Linked DNA regions of Sus scrofa. The protein of the gene in region 1 purifies or fractionates together with the protein of each later gene. This does not show direct contact. Links are inferred from orthologs where the notes say so. Each region holds a gene or a part of one and is shown on either strand. Other genes may lie near its edges. The genes, in order: EIF4G1, EIF3J and USP10.

Region 1 (4,213 bases):
ACATGATAAAGTCACAGAACTCAAATGAAGAGCATCACAGAGAACACTCTAGATCTTTCATTTTTCTATGGTTCCTCCTCTATGTGTCTATTCTGCTCTCCTTTCTTTGGAGCATCAGTTACTCATCCAATGGGAATAATGATACAATCCATTTTGTAAGAAGTTGTAAGGATTGAGATCACAAGGGTCATATATTCAGAGTGACCAGTTCATCATTGGTGCCAAAGAAATTGTTTTCCTGTGAGATTATATGTGTTTGGATACAGAAGGGGGCAGATGTGGAGGAGAGAGAAGAAATAGCCTTTGCTAGGCACCTAGGCACTGTTTTAAGCACTTTCACAGGAATTAACTCCTTTAAATCCTCACAATGGTGGGTAAAAGTTCAAACTTGAGCTAGACTGCCTAGTTTCAAGTATTTCCTTTTTTTTTTTGTCATGCCCATGGCTTCCTGCAGTTTCTAATTTCTAAGCTAGGGATCAAACCTGTGCCACAGCAGTGACACCAGCCAATGCAGCTGAGCCACACAGAAACTCCAAATAGTTCCATTTTACAACCTATAAGTAAGTAGTAGAGTTTGGATTAAATTCTGGGGCTGACTAGGAGTAAGTAGATTTGACTCTAGTATGTCCCTTCAGGCAGTTTAAAATCTTTTGGCTACTGGGCAGGGAGGGGTCTTGGGATTACTTGTTCCACCACTATTTGAAGTTTGTGTGATTGCTTTTAGTTCCTCCCTGGGAATGGCCGATTTTTATTCTTTATAAAAGACAAATCTAGTAGTTCCCTTATTAAAGATCCCACGTTGTCACTGCAGCGGCTCGGGCTGCTACTGTGGCACGGATTCCATCCGAGGTCAGGGGACTTCCATATGCTGGAAGATGTGGCAAAAAAAAAAAAAAAGAGACAAATTTACTAATTCCCTAGTTAGAATGTTTCAATCCTTATTAAACATATAAACATTCAGTTTAATAAGTCTTTTATTGATCTAATCTACATTACTTTCAAAGGCTGCCTAACGTGTGTTTCTTTCCGCATTTGTACCATGATTTACTTCGGCAGGACTGAGTCTTTAATTTCAGTATTCTCAGCCCCCTGCCAGCACTTAGCCTAGCATTCAGTATGCACTCAATAAATGCCTGCTCAAAGTATGAATGAACTAAAGAATCGCGGAACTGAGTCGCAGAGGGGGATCGGTCTGGGAATTCCAAAGTTCGGGAGGGGACACGGGGGCGGGCAGTGGCTGTCACATGACTAGGCGGGGCAAATCCCATGTGCTTCGCGGCACCGGGCAAGGCTCCGCCCTCTGCGCCGGTCACGTGGGGGCGCCGGCTGCGCCTGCGGAGAAGCGGTGGCCGCCGAGCGGGATCCGTGCGGGGAGCCGGAAATGGTTGTGGACTACGTCTGTGCGGCTGCGTGGGGCTCGGCCGCGCGGACTGAAGGAGACTGAAGGTAAAGCCGCCATGTCCGGGCCCGACCCGGCCCCCCCATCCCCTCCCCCCGCATCCGCCGCCATCCGGGCCGGGACCGGCTACCCTGCGCCGCCTCCCCGGCGCCCTGGCTCCTCGGCCCAAGCCCGGGCCCCGGGCCGCCAGGGCCCGATCCCCGGCCCACGTGTGCCCGGCCTGGCCCGGCCTGGCTGCTGGGTGGGGGTGGGGGAGCGCGGGGCCGGAATATGCGGTCCCCGCGGGCTGGGAGGGCGCCGGGTTTCCCGGCTGCTAAGTGCCACCTCGGCCCGACCCGAGGAGGCCCTACGGGCGCAGGCACCGCGACTCCCGGCCCGCCGCCCCCTCCCCCCTTTGCGGCCCGGCCGCCGGGAAGTGACACGTTGTTCTTTGGCACTGGCCGGCGCTGCGCAGGGAGGGCGCAGGGGAGGGAGGCGGCGGCGGCGGGCAGGGAGGAGCCCCCGGCCCCGCCCGCCCTCCAGGCCGACCCTCACTTGCTTCAAACCGGCTCTTCTTCGGCCGCCGCCCGCCTGGCCTTTTACGGCCCGACTGCCGCTTTTCCTGGCCTCCACTCCTGGGCGGCGGCAGGCCTCGCCTCTAGCCCCGTGCGGGTGCACCCGCGGCCACCCGCGGCAGGCGTGCCTTGTGTGCCCCTGGGCCAGGCCCCGAACCCGGTGTCCCCGGGTGGGGGGTGGGGACACCACGGCCGAAGCTGCTAGCTCCGTTTGTGATCCGGGAGCCTGGTGCCAGCGAGACCTGGAATTTCCGGTCTGGTTGGTCTTGGGCCCCGCGGAGCCAGGTTGATACCCCCCACCTCCCAACCCCAGGCCCTCGGATGCCCAGAACCTGTAGGCCGCACCGTGGATTTATTCTTAACCGAGGGGGTGAGTGAGGGGCTGTTTCAGCAGATCAGGGGGGGTGGTTGGAGCTGCGGGTCTGACAAGGTGTCGGTGGGGACATAGGCTGGGTTTTATGCTCCTTCACCTTTTTGGCGATTCCGGGGCTTGTTGTGGGACCCAGACCTTGCTTCATCCCTCCCCCACTCCATTTGCCTTAAGCTTGGGTCCCTTCCCCTTTCCGAGCTCCGCTCTTTCCCAACAGGTGCTGGGGGGACCCTGATGTGGCACCAAATGAAATGAACAAAGCTCCACAGCCCACAGGCCCCCCACCTGCCCCATCCCCTGGACTCCCACAGGTAATTAGGGAGGAATTAGCAGCAACTGGGGTGGGGGTGGGGGAGACCAGGCAGCCGGGTCAGGAACAGGTTCCAACCTCTGGATTTTCCCACCCCCTTCTGTGTCAGGGCAAAGTGCAGCTTCCTGCTGCCAAATTGAGGCAGGGCCCCGGGGCTGTTCTTAGGGGCTGTCTTGGGGAGGGTATATGTGGACTGTTGAGGCTCTTGCCACAGCTCTGCTCCCCTTACTTCACCAGCTTGAGTTTCTGCCCCACCTGGGTTTCCCCTCTTGCTGAATTCTGGTCTCCCCCCTTCAGCCAGCGTTTCCCCCGGGGCAGACAGCACCGGTGGTGTTCAGTACGCCTCAAGCGACACAAATGAACACGCCTTCTCAGCCCCGCCAGGTGAGGGGCTGTGGGGAGGGGAGTAGGGGGCCTGGGTGGGAACCATGTGAAGCTTAGGCCAGTTTGGGCCTAGGATGGAAACTATGGAGGCCTTGTACCTGCCCCAACTTCCTGACAGTTGCTTTCATGCGGTTCTGCACTTTGCACTGTTGATTACTTACGGTGGCTGGCCCCTTGGAGTATGTAGTTGGTGGGGATGGCATTCCTAGGGGTCCTGGTGCCTTGGGGGCAGTGCTTTGGGCCCTGCTGCCAACTCCTGCTTTCCTGTTTTCTTTTACTGGGAGGTTGCCATTGCTCCATTCCCCATCCATCTTTCTCTTTTGGACTGTGGCAAGATAAACACTCCAGCTAGTTCTTGCCTTTCTCTGTTCCCTAAATTCTTCCTCACAAGTGGGAGAGGATTCTTGTCCTGCTTCCTTCATTTTCTTTCCCTCCTCATCACCTTGGGGATAATTCTTTTCTTTCCTGTCCCCATGTGCTCTCAGGGAGGATTCAGGTCTCTGCAGGTAATACCCCATTGCTAATCCTGAACTCTCTCCGGGTCTCACCCTTACACTCTGCCCTAGTCAGGGGCTAGACTCAGTCTGGGTCCTCAGTCTGAGGCTGACCGATGCATGTTAGGGGCTAAATCTTGTGTAGTTCACATCTGGGAACTGGGAGACTGTTGCATGTTAGCGGTGAGCTCCTCAGTACCTTAGGGTGGAGCAGTGCATGCTGGGGAGTATGTTGCTGAAAAAGGCTTTACTTAGGCATGATGCATCTGGGTGTTAGGAAGCCTCTGCTGAAGGATAGCCTGGTGAGGTGATCTGAGTATGCATGGCAGGGAGGGAGTAAATATACAGAGTGCCAAGTGTATACCTGAGTTTGGAGGGCGTATGTGAGTATAAGAGGCCACTTAGCCATCACTTGGTCAAGTGAGTCTTGGAAGTGTTGGTCTTCATGCTCCAAAGCCCCTGGTACTTCTCTCCTGACTAGAGACATAGTGGAATGGCCCTTTTGCTGTCCACCTCCTCCCCTTCCCATTGCCAACTGCCTTCCTCCCTCCTGACAGCACTTCTACCCTAGCCGGGCCCAGCCCCCGAGCAGTGCAGCCTCCCGAGTGCAGAGTGCAGCCCCTGCCCGCCCTGGCCCAGCTGCCCATGTCTACCCTGCTGGATCCCAAGTAATGATGATCCCTTCCCAGATCTCCTACCCAG
Region 2 (4,157 bases), on another chromosome or scaffold:
AACTTACTCCTTCAAGCTTAATAAACCACAAACTGTGGCACAAAAATAACCCTCAGCTACTAGATCTACACAGCCTTAACAAATTTTCCATTAACCAGAAAAATTAAGACTACATCCTCAAGTGAGACGGAATTAACATTTATTGAACGCCTACCAAGTGCCAGGTAACTATGCTTAATGCTTGACACATTATCTCATTTAAAATGCAAAAGGAGTTCCCGTTCCCGTAGTGGCACAGTGGAAAGGAATCTGACTAGGAACCATGAGGTTGTGGGTTCAATCCCTGGCCTCGCTCAGTGGGTTAAGAGTCCGGCATTGCTATGAGCTGTGGTGTAGGTCGAAGACTCGGCTGGGATCTGGTGTTGCTGTGGCTGTGGTGGTGTAGGCCCGCAGCTACAGCTCTGATTAGAACCCTAGTCTGGGAACAAAGGTCTGGGAACCTCCATATGCAGCAGGTGCAGCCCTAAAAAAAGCAAAAAACAAAAACAAAACCCCCCAAAAAATAGAAAATGCAAAATAATTTCCTGAGGTAGCTTCTGTGAAGACTGGGAAACTTAAAAAATTTAAAAATTCTTTATAGAAAATGTCAAGACAACAGCATAGATTCTGGTCTGTCTGATTCCAAATTCCAGGAATCAAACTACTCCATGGATACCTTATCTTAGAAATCTTTGGAGAAACTAAACAGAAATAAACCAATATTTCAACATGGAAATAAAATGAACAAGTTCAGCTTTCTATTCCAAGATCTACATCAAAGTTTCTGTAAAAGAAGTACGCTATTTGTATAAAAGAAAGAAATTCTGCACTTAAAAATGACTGGACAAGATGATCTTTATGGTCCCTCACCAATTAAAAATGTCCAAAATTAATTTCAAGTGGCTAGAACTGTATTTATCAGGATTGATGGCATTTATATCAAATAATTTCAGGCACGCTACCTCATGATATTAATCCAGACTACTTTATTCAAACTTCGTATTTTGGTAATTCTTTCCTGATTTCTCTAGTTGTTTCTTCTCACTCATTCCTAATTTTCTTAACAGATGTCTTAACTCCTACAACCACTATGCACAGAAAAAGTAAAAGGATAAATCTGAACTAAAGGTTCAAGACAGAAAATCTGCCACCACGTAGGGAGGTAACTAGTATCTTGCAATGAGGCTAACACAATCCATTCTCATGTCTACACAACATGTAAATGAAGCATCTAAGTATCTTCACAATACTATTGCTCATTTATTAATCCCAAGGTCTGCAAAACTCAAATCATACTTGAACCTCAGGCAATTCAATGAATTGAACATCCACCTCATCAGATTCAGGAGAAAAGGGTACAATCTAAAAAAGGCAATATTAATATGAAGCTCATAGTGATTATCTAGCTTAAATTTTTTTCAACACAAGCAGAAGGACTTGTAGGGTTGTCAAAGTGAGCTGAAGGGTAAACATTCACCAAATGAATCAAAACCATAAAAAAAATTTCCAAATCATACAAAACTTGATTTTCACAAAAATGAAGTATTTGAGAACTTAGTTAATAAGTCTTAACATTCCACCCTTGAGACTCTGTAGATACTTGAAAACAAAAACAAAAACAAAAACAAAACGCAGTAGTCATAATGTCATCTGAAGTCTTATGATGAGCCCCCAGGAGTTTTCATAAACAAACAGCGAGAGTAAGTTGGGTTCAAATCTATAAGGCATAGGAAAAACACACAAAAAATCACTGTCTCCCTCGTCTTCTCCAACCTTCAAATCTTCATTATTTCCTTATGCTTTCGTGTGTAGGTTATTAAAAACTCACTCTGTAAACCTCTCCATTTTTCAGGTCGCTGTGTGGACTACCCAGGTTTCTGACCACTAACTGCTAGCTATCTCAATACTCAGTTCACCCTTTTACCATAGGGTGGGAGAAAGGAAGCTAAAAATTCTTTCATTTGCGTGGGGGGAAAAAAAGGTGGCTGAAATTAAATCATAATATTTCACTCCTCTAACAGCTCGAACAAACTCTTCAAATGAAGCTTGGGATGTAAATGAGTTACTGGCCTGGGGAAACCTGAGCTCGAAAAAGCAATGGGGTGCAAGACTTTCCATATGGGATAAGCCAGAGGCTCCATCCTCAACTTCCCAGTCTCACCACTGAAGAGCAGCTCCGGACCGCGAAGTTTGCACGTGGGCCGGTCCAGCCTCTGCTGTCACCTCCCGTCGCCAGTTGGCGAGTGGGATCCAGGCCGGAGTGCGGTCCTTCAAAGGGATGGGGCTGGCGTCCTCGCCAAGGAAATCCGAGAGACCACGCTATCGGCCTCCGGCCCCCAGGGCCGGCGAGCGAGGGGAACAGGGCACCACCAGGCCCTACGCTTGCGCCTAGACCCACAGCCCGCAGGCCGGGGCGGCGCCTCTGGGCCCAGAGTCCGTCCGACCGACCGCCCCTCGGCGAGCACCCCGGCCCGCGACGGCGCCAGCTCGCTCCCGCGCTGGCCGGAGCCCCGACCCGCACCCACCTTGACGTCCTCGTCCTCGTCCTCGCCTTCCCAGCGGTCCCCGCCGGCGGTGCCGCCGCCCCCCACCTTCCGCACTGGGTCATCCACGGAGAACGTGTCTGCGTCTACGGAAGAGAGCGAGCTGTGTTAAAGCTTGCTTGGGCGTGGGGCTGGCGCCAGCCCCGGCCTACCCCCGGAACTTCTCCTCACCCCAAGAATCGGAGTCCCCCGCCGCTGCTGCCGCCGCCGCCGCCGCCATCTCGCGCCGGGTATGAGCGTGTGTGAGGCGACAGCGAGCGAGGAGTTAGCGCGGCAGTGAGTCACTGGATCTGCTCTCGTTTGCCGGCGCGGGGCAGGCTGGGACTGTGGCTGACTTAACGCCGGGGCCCAGGCTCCTCCCCCTCTGGCGGCGGCGGCGGCGGCGATGCTCTCGCGGGCGGGAAGGGGGCGTGGAACGCGGTGGGCGAGGCGGAGCGTCCAGTACCCCACGCACCCAGCAGGGTGGTCCTGTCTGCTAGTGGGGTGGGGAGAGAGGAAGAGGCTAGGAGGCAGCCACCCTACGCCCTGGGGAGAAAAATGTAAGTGCGGCGAAGTTAGCAGGGCAGTCCTTTTCCCGGTGCTTGGCTCTCTCCTGCCCTTGCCATCCTAACCCATACCCGCCCGGACCGGTCGGGTGCGCCCTCCTTCTGTTCACATGGATCGCCACCCTTGGCCTCTGGCTGGTCCCAAGGAAACCCGCAGCCTCTCCACGCGGCACTCAGAAGTGGGCTCTGAACGCCGAGCCCGCCTGTGGCGGCAGTCGCCTGGCTCCCCGACCCCAGGAGGGTGCGGTCGCTGGCGGAACGAGGCGGGATCCCTCTGGAAGCCGGTGGTGCATGGGGCGGCCAGGAAGAAGCGAATAGAGAGGGCCAAGCTCCTGGCAGTCTTCCCAGTCAGGGTGTTCAGTCAGCTCCTGGCACGTTTGCCTCCAGGTAGTCACGAAGATATGGAAGGGAGTCCCCATGTTCAAGAATTTTTCCTTCCTGTGAGCCCCCTGAAGTCAATACATTATTCATTCTTTTCGCAGAATAATTTCGGAACTCGATCTGCGCTAAGCGTAAGCTCTAGCCTTGTCCTCGCTCACTCAAGTATAGACATATAAACAAATTTCGACACAGTGAGATGACTGCAACAAAAAGGCATTGTGAGGTTTAGTGTAAAAGGATAGCATTAACCGCAGAGAAGAGAGGTAGGATATATGAAAGGCTACCTGAGGGTAAGTGAGGCCGATAAAGAGTTTTAAAGACCAACCAAGTGAAATGTGTTCAGTGCCTTTTATGCTTGTGGTCCCTGTTCTGACTGAATGGCGCAATCAGAGATAAGCTGAAAAGATAAATTTATAATACTAAAGGGTTTAAGATGAGCTAAGCTGCACCTAGCTTGGGCCACTGAGCTCCACTTCAGGATTTTAAAAGGTGAGCTGTTAAACATATTTTTGTTTTTGTTGTTTTCTTAATTTCTTAGTTTTGAATATGTAACATACGTACTTGGTACAACATTCATTCAAATGGGTATATAGGATGATCAGCCATTATGTTCTTTCTGGTGGCAACCAGTGTTCCCCATTTCTTATGTATCTTTTTCAGTGAGTCTACAAATAGACCACATTTTATAAAGATGGTCTTCCAAAAGATA
Region 3 (4,164 bases), on another chromosome or scaffold:
GACCCGGGTGCAGCCCTAAAGAGACCAAAAAAAAAAAAAAAAAAAAAAAAAAAAAGACCAAAAAAATAAAAAGAAAAAAAGAAAAGAAAAGAAATAGGATATAACCTATACAAATGTTTTAACCATAACAAGCTAATTTTAAAATAGGCCCGCTACTGTTAATTTGTGGTTGTCATCTCCAATCATAAACAGGTACCACGCGGCAGTCTGATGGTGCTGTGCACAGACTGAGTGCTCCATCAACACGCGGCCATTAAGGCTGCAGACCCTCAGACAGCAGGTAACTGAATAAAATAAATTCTTTAAAATATTCAGCCTGACTCAAGCAGGATCCAATCATTCAACCATGTTATCGATGTTTTCACTACTATTCTCTTTTTTTTTTTTTTTTTTTTGTCTTTTTAGGGTTGCACCCGAGTCACATGGAGGTTCCCAGGCCGGGGGTCCAACTGGAGCTGGAGCTGCCGGCCTACACCACAGCCACAGCAATGGGGGATCCAAGCCTCGTGCGACCTACACCACAGCTCAAGGCAACCGGACCCTTAACCAACTGAGGGAAGCCAGGGATCAAACCAGCAACCTCACGGTTCCTAGTTGGATTCGTTTCTGCCTCGCCACGACAGAAACTCCTTCACTACTGTTCTTTCAAAAAGAATTAAGAATAATAAAAAAAAAAAGAAATACAAGAAATTATACTCTTTCCTACTTTCTCCAAGCTAGAATTTAAAAGTATTTAAATCATACTTTAAAAGAATAAACCCAAAGTGTTGCTAACATTTAAGTTTACCTTACTTTGCCACTCAATTTTCGAGAAAGATGTGTACAAGCAATACTGCTGTATAAAACATAAATACCTGGAGTTCCCGTCGTGGCGCAGTAGTTAATGAATCCAACTAGGAACCATGCAGTTGTGGGTTTGATCCCTGGCCTTGCTCAGTGGGTTAAGGATCCAGTGTTGCCATGAGCTGTGAGCCGCAGACTTGGGTCTTATCCCGAGTTGCTGTGGCTGTGGCGCAGGCCGGTGGCTACAGCTCCGATTGGACCCCTAGCCTGGAAACCTCCATAAGCTGCGGGAGCGCCCAAGAAATCACAAAAAACAAACAAACAAACATAAATACCAGGACAATGAAAGCAAAAGAAACTACAATCTAGTTTACAGATTATCTCCATTCATTAACACTTCAATCAATTTTGCACTGCAACTGGTGCTTAACAGAAGTGATGGAGTTCCCTTGTGGCACAGAGGGTTAAGGATCTGGCCTTGTCACTGCAGCAGCTGGGTCACTGCTGTGGCACAGGTTCCATCCCTGTCGGGGGAACTGCCCCGCTGCTTCCAGCGCCATCAAAAAGGAAAAAAAAAGTGCAAGTAAATTCTGCCTAAACACGATTTCCCCATTCTAAAATCACTATGAATATCATATTACCCATTCGTGCATAATGAACCTTTACCTATTTTGCAGCTATTTACTTTAAGAGAAAGGCAAATACCAAATGTCTTAAGGGGAAAAAAAAAAAATCTTCCAATTACACATTTGAAAAACTTATGCAACGAAGCCCTTCTTTTATGCAAAGAACTACTTTAAAAGTTGATGTACAAGTGCAGAAAGTTAAAGGCAGCAAGTTGGAGAGCACACTCAAGTGCCAAAAACTTCACAAAACTGCAGGTTCCTGTAAAATTTAATTTTCTGCAATTTTCCTCACTTTAAATTCCACAACACGCATCAGTTACAAGTTATTAAAATCGACTCCATTTCCAAAGAGGCAACAAAAGCCACTTGCTTATACAGGGTTATGATTTACTGGTCGCCAGCCTTCCAATACTTACTTTGTTTCATGCTCGCGGATTTAATACAAAAGCACAATGAGATAGATGATGGAAACTTCGCAATAACTCCTAGGATTAAAAGTCGACAAATCGGCGGTCTACAGCCAGCCGGACAAGTTAATACCACATGCCCATTTTTACTCAAATTCACTGAATTTCGGGGAGTGGGAGAGGGGGAAAAAAGTTCAACTCAACACACAAGTCTCCCTTTTGAAAGCGGCGTTTTACTCTTTCTTTCCACCACGGGATTATTATAAACAACCCCTAAGCCTGACCCACGGCTCTGACAGGGTGCGTTAGGAGTGTCAGCTTGGCGGAGAGGGATTCGTGCAAAAGAAGTCACTCAAAGGCAAGTCAAAGTGCGGTCCCGGCGAGTTATTTCGAGTTTCTTTGCAACTGTAACCTTAAGCTGCTTCTTAGTGACTTGAATCTAAAAGCCAGAAAACCGACAAGCCCCCCCACCCAGGGGTTGATCAAGCTGCGAAAGCAACCCTGGGGGGCACAGGGGAAATCCGGCCACCCCCAAATCTTGGTGATTCGCTCCGGGCCGAGAAGCGAGCTGAGGGCGTGGAAGGTTCTGCCGCCTCGGGGGCCTCCCGAGGCCCCAGGCTGCCTTTCCGGGCGACGAGGGCCCCGGCTGCACCGCCGGCTCGGCCCGCGGGCCAGCCCCGAGGTTAACCCCTTCGCGCCCCACACGCCCGCTCCAGGCGGGCCCCGGCGCCCCCTCCTCGCCGCTCCCCCAAGGCGGGGGCCCGGCGGGCTCCGGCGCCGGGCCGGCCGGGCTGCCGGCGGCCGAGGCGCGGAGGCGGCGGGAGGCCCGGGGCCTAGTCCCGGGCAGCATGTCCCGGCGCCCTCCCCCACTCCCACACGCTCGCTCGGGCCAGGGTGCGGGCGCCCGCCCACCAGCCCCGGGGCCGGCCCGCCCGCCGCTCGGGACGCCTTCCAGCCGAGAGCGCCGGCCAGCGGCTACCTGCGGGTTGCGGAGGGCCATGGCGGCCCGTTTCAATGAGCCTCGGCGCCCGTCCGAGTCCTCACGCTGCTTCCCCCGCCGCCGCCATCTTCTCGCCCGCACATACACACTCGCATCCGCCGCCGCGCCTGCGCACTGACCGCGCGCCGCGGGGCGCGGGGAGGCGGCGCGCCGGGCGCGCGCTGCGCATGCGCGGCCGACAGGTGGGCGTGCAACGCGGGAACCCGGCCCGGGTGGACTCGGGGCCCGCGCACCTCCGCGGAGGCCGGCGGGTCAGCGGCGGACCGGGAGCTCCGGGGCGGGCCGCGCGGCGGGAAGAGAAAACCCTAGCGGGCAGAGCTGACTACGCCAAAGCGCCCAGTCGGCCTGGGTTGCTCACCTGCCCGGAGGCCACCTGGGTGCTGCGCGGGCGAGGAGGGCCGGAGCCCGAGTGCCGCGGCCGGACCTCGGCCCCCGCCGCCAAAGCCTAGGGCCTCCCTGGGCCCGGGTCCCCGACTTGAGGGCCGAAGACCTCAGAGTAGTCTCGGCTTACGGCGGTCACATCCGTCCATTCATTCACTTATTCACTTTTCGTTCATTACCCAAACACTGAGGTGCCATAGGCATGGGAGAATATATTTAGAGATTTAAAAAAAAAAAAAAAAAAAAGGACGGACACATAAAAGCGCCTATGATTGAGGCCTGACAAATAGTGAGCACTAAGTGTCACCCATCACACACATACGTGCAAGTATCCAGACAGACCAGTTTCGGGTCATTGACTCAAGAAACAGTGACCCCTACCTGACCACGCAGTTTACCGCCACCGGCTTTGACCCTCTCGAGCTGAGTGATTCAGGCGAGTTAATTCCCATTCCTAAACCTTTGGTTTCCTTACCTGTGAGTGAAACTAATTTTTTTTTTTTTTTTTTTTTACGGCCGCATCCACAGCATATGGAGGTTCTCAGTCTAGAGGTCAAATCGGAGCTGTAGCCACAGCCACAGACACAGCCCCGCCAGATGTGAGCTGCATCTGCGACCTACACCACAGCTCACGGCAACGCTGGATCCTTAACCTTCTGATCGAGGCCAGGGATCGAACCTGAGTCCTCACGGATGCTAGTCAGATTCGCTTCCGATGAGCCACAACGGGGAAATCCCAATAAAATTTCTAATTTCATAAGATTTCTGTGACTATCAAATGAGAGTGAGCCCACTGGCCAAGAGATCCAACCCTCAATAACAATTAGCTACTGTGACTCCATTATTGTTCTCATGTGCTCAGGGAATACAGCGGCTAGTCTCCAGACTCCACTGCTAAGCAGAGGAGATCAACAGTAAATCCATTACCAGGTTCCATAAGGCAAGGGGCCTGGTCTTTTCAAAAATA

Evidence for each region.
Region 2: the proteins of EIF4G1 (region 1) and EIF3J purify together in Homo sapiens (affinity purification with western blotting; 3 studies listed by BioGRID and IntAct, with this or other methods). This does not show direct contact. The link is inferred for Sus scrofa from reciprocal best matches to the Homo sapiens genes EIF4G1 and EIF3J.
Region 3: the proteins of EIF4G1 (region 1) and USP10 purify together in Homo sapiens (affinity purification with mass spectrometry; 4 studies listed by BioGRID, with this or other methods). This does not show direct contact. The link is inferred for Sus scrofa from reciprocal best matches to the Homo sapiens genes EIF4G1 and USP10.

What each region holds. Positions count from the first base shown.
Region 1 is NC_010455.5:122,202,213-122,206,425, forward strand, and holds the start of EIF4G1 (eukaryotic translation initiation factor 4 gamma 1), read left to right. Parts: upstream 1-1,293; 5' UTR 1,294-1,446; intron 1,447-1,898; exon of another isoform or gene 1,899-2,266; 5' UTR 2,267-2,323; intron 2,324-2,540; 5' UTR 2,541-2,574; coding exon 2,575-2,634; intron 2,635-2,870; exon of another isoform or gene 2,871-2,930; coding exon 2,931-3,017; intron 3,018-3,502; coding exon of another isoform or gene 3,503-3,523; intron 3,524-4,068; coding exon 4,069-4,213.
Region 2 is NC_010443.5:127,016,389-127,020,545, forward strand, and holds the start of EIF3J (eukaryotic translation initiation factor 3 subunit J), read right to left. Parts: upstream 2,877-4,157; 5' UTR 2,743-2,876; coding exon 2,694-2,742; intron 2,609-2,693; coding exon 2,505-2,608; intron 1-2,504. UniProt on the Homo sapiens protein: Component of the eukaryotic translation initiation factor 3 (eIF-3) complex, which is required for several steps in the initiation of protein synthesis.
Region 3 is NC_010448.4:4,040,608-4,044,771, forward strand, and holds the start of USP10 (ubiquitin carboxyl-terminal hydrolase 10), read right to left. Parts: upstream 2,933-4,164; 5' UTR 2,817-2,932; coding exon 2,796-2,816; intron 1-2,795. UniProt on the Homo sapiens protein: Hydrolase that can remove conjugated ubiquitin from target proteins such as p53/TP53, RPS2/us5, RPS3/us3, RPS10/eS10, BECN1, SNX3 and CFTR.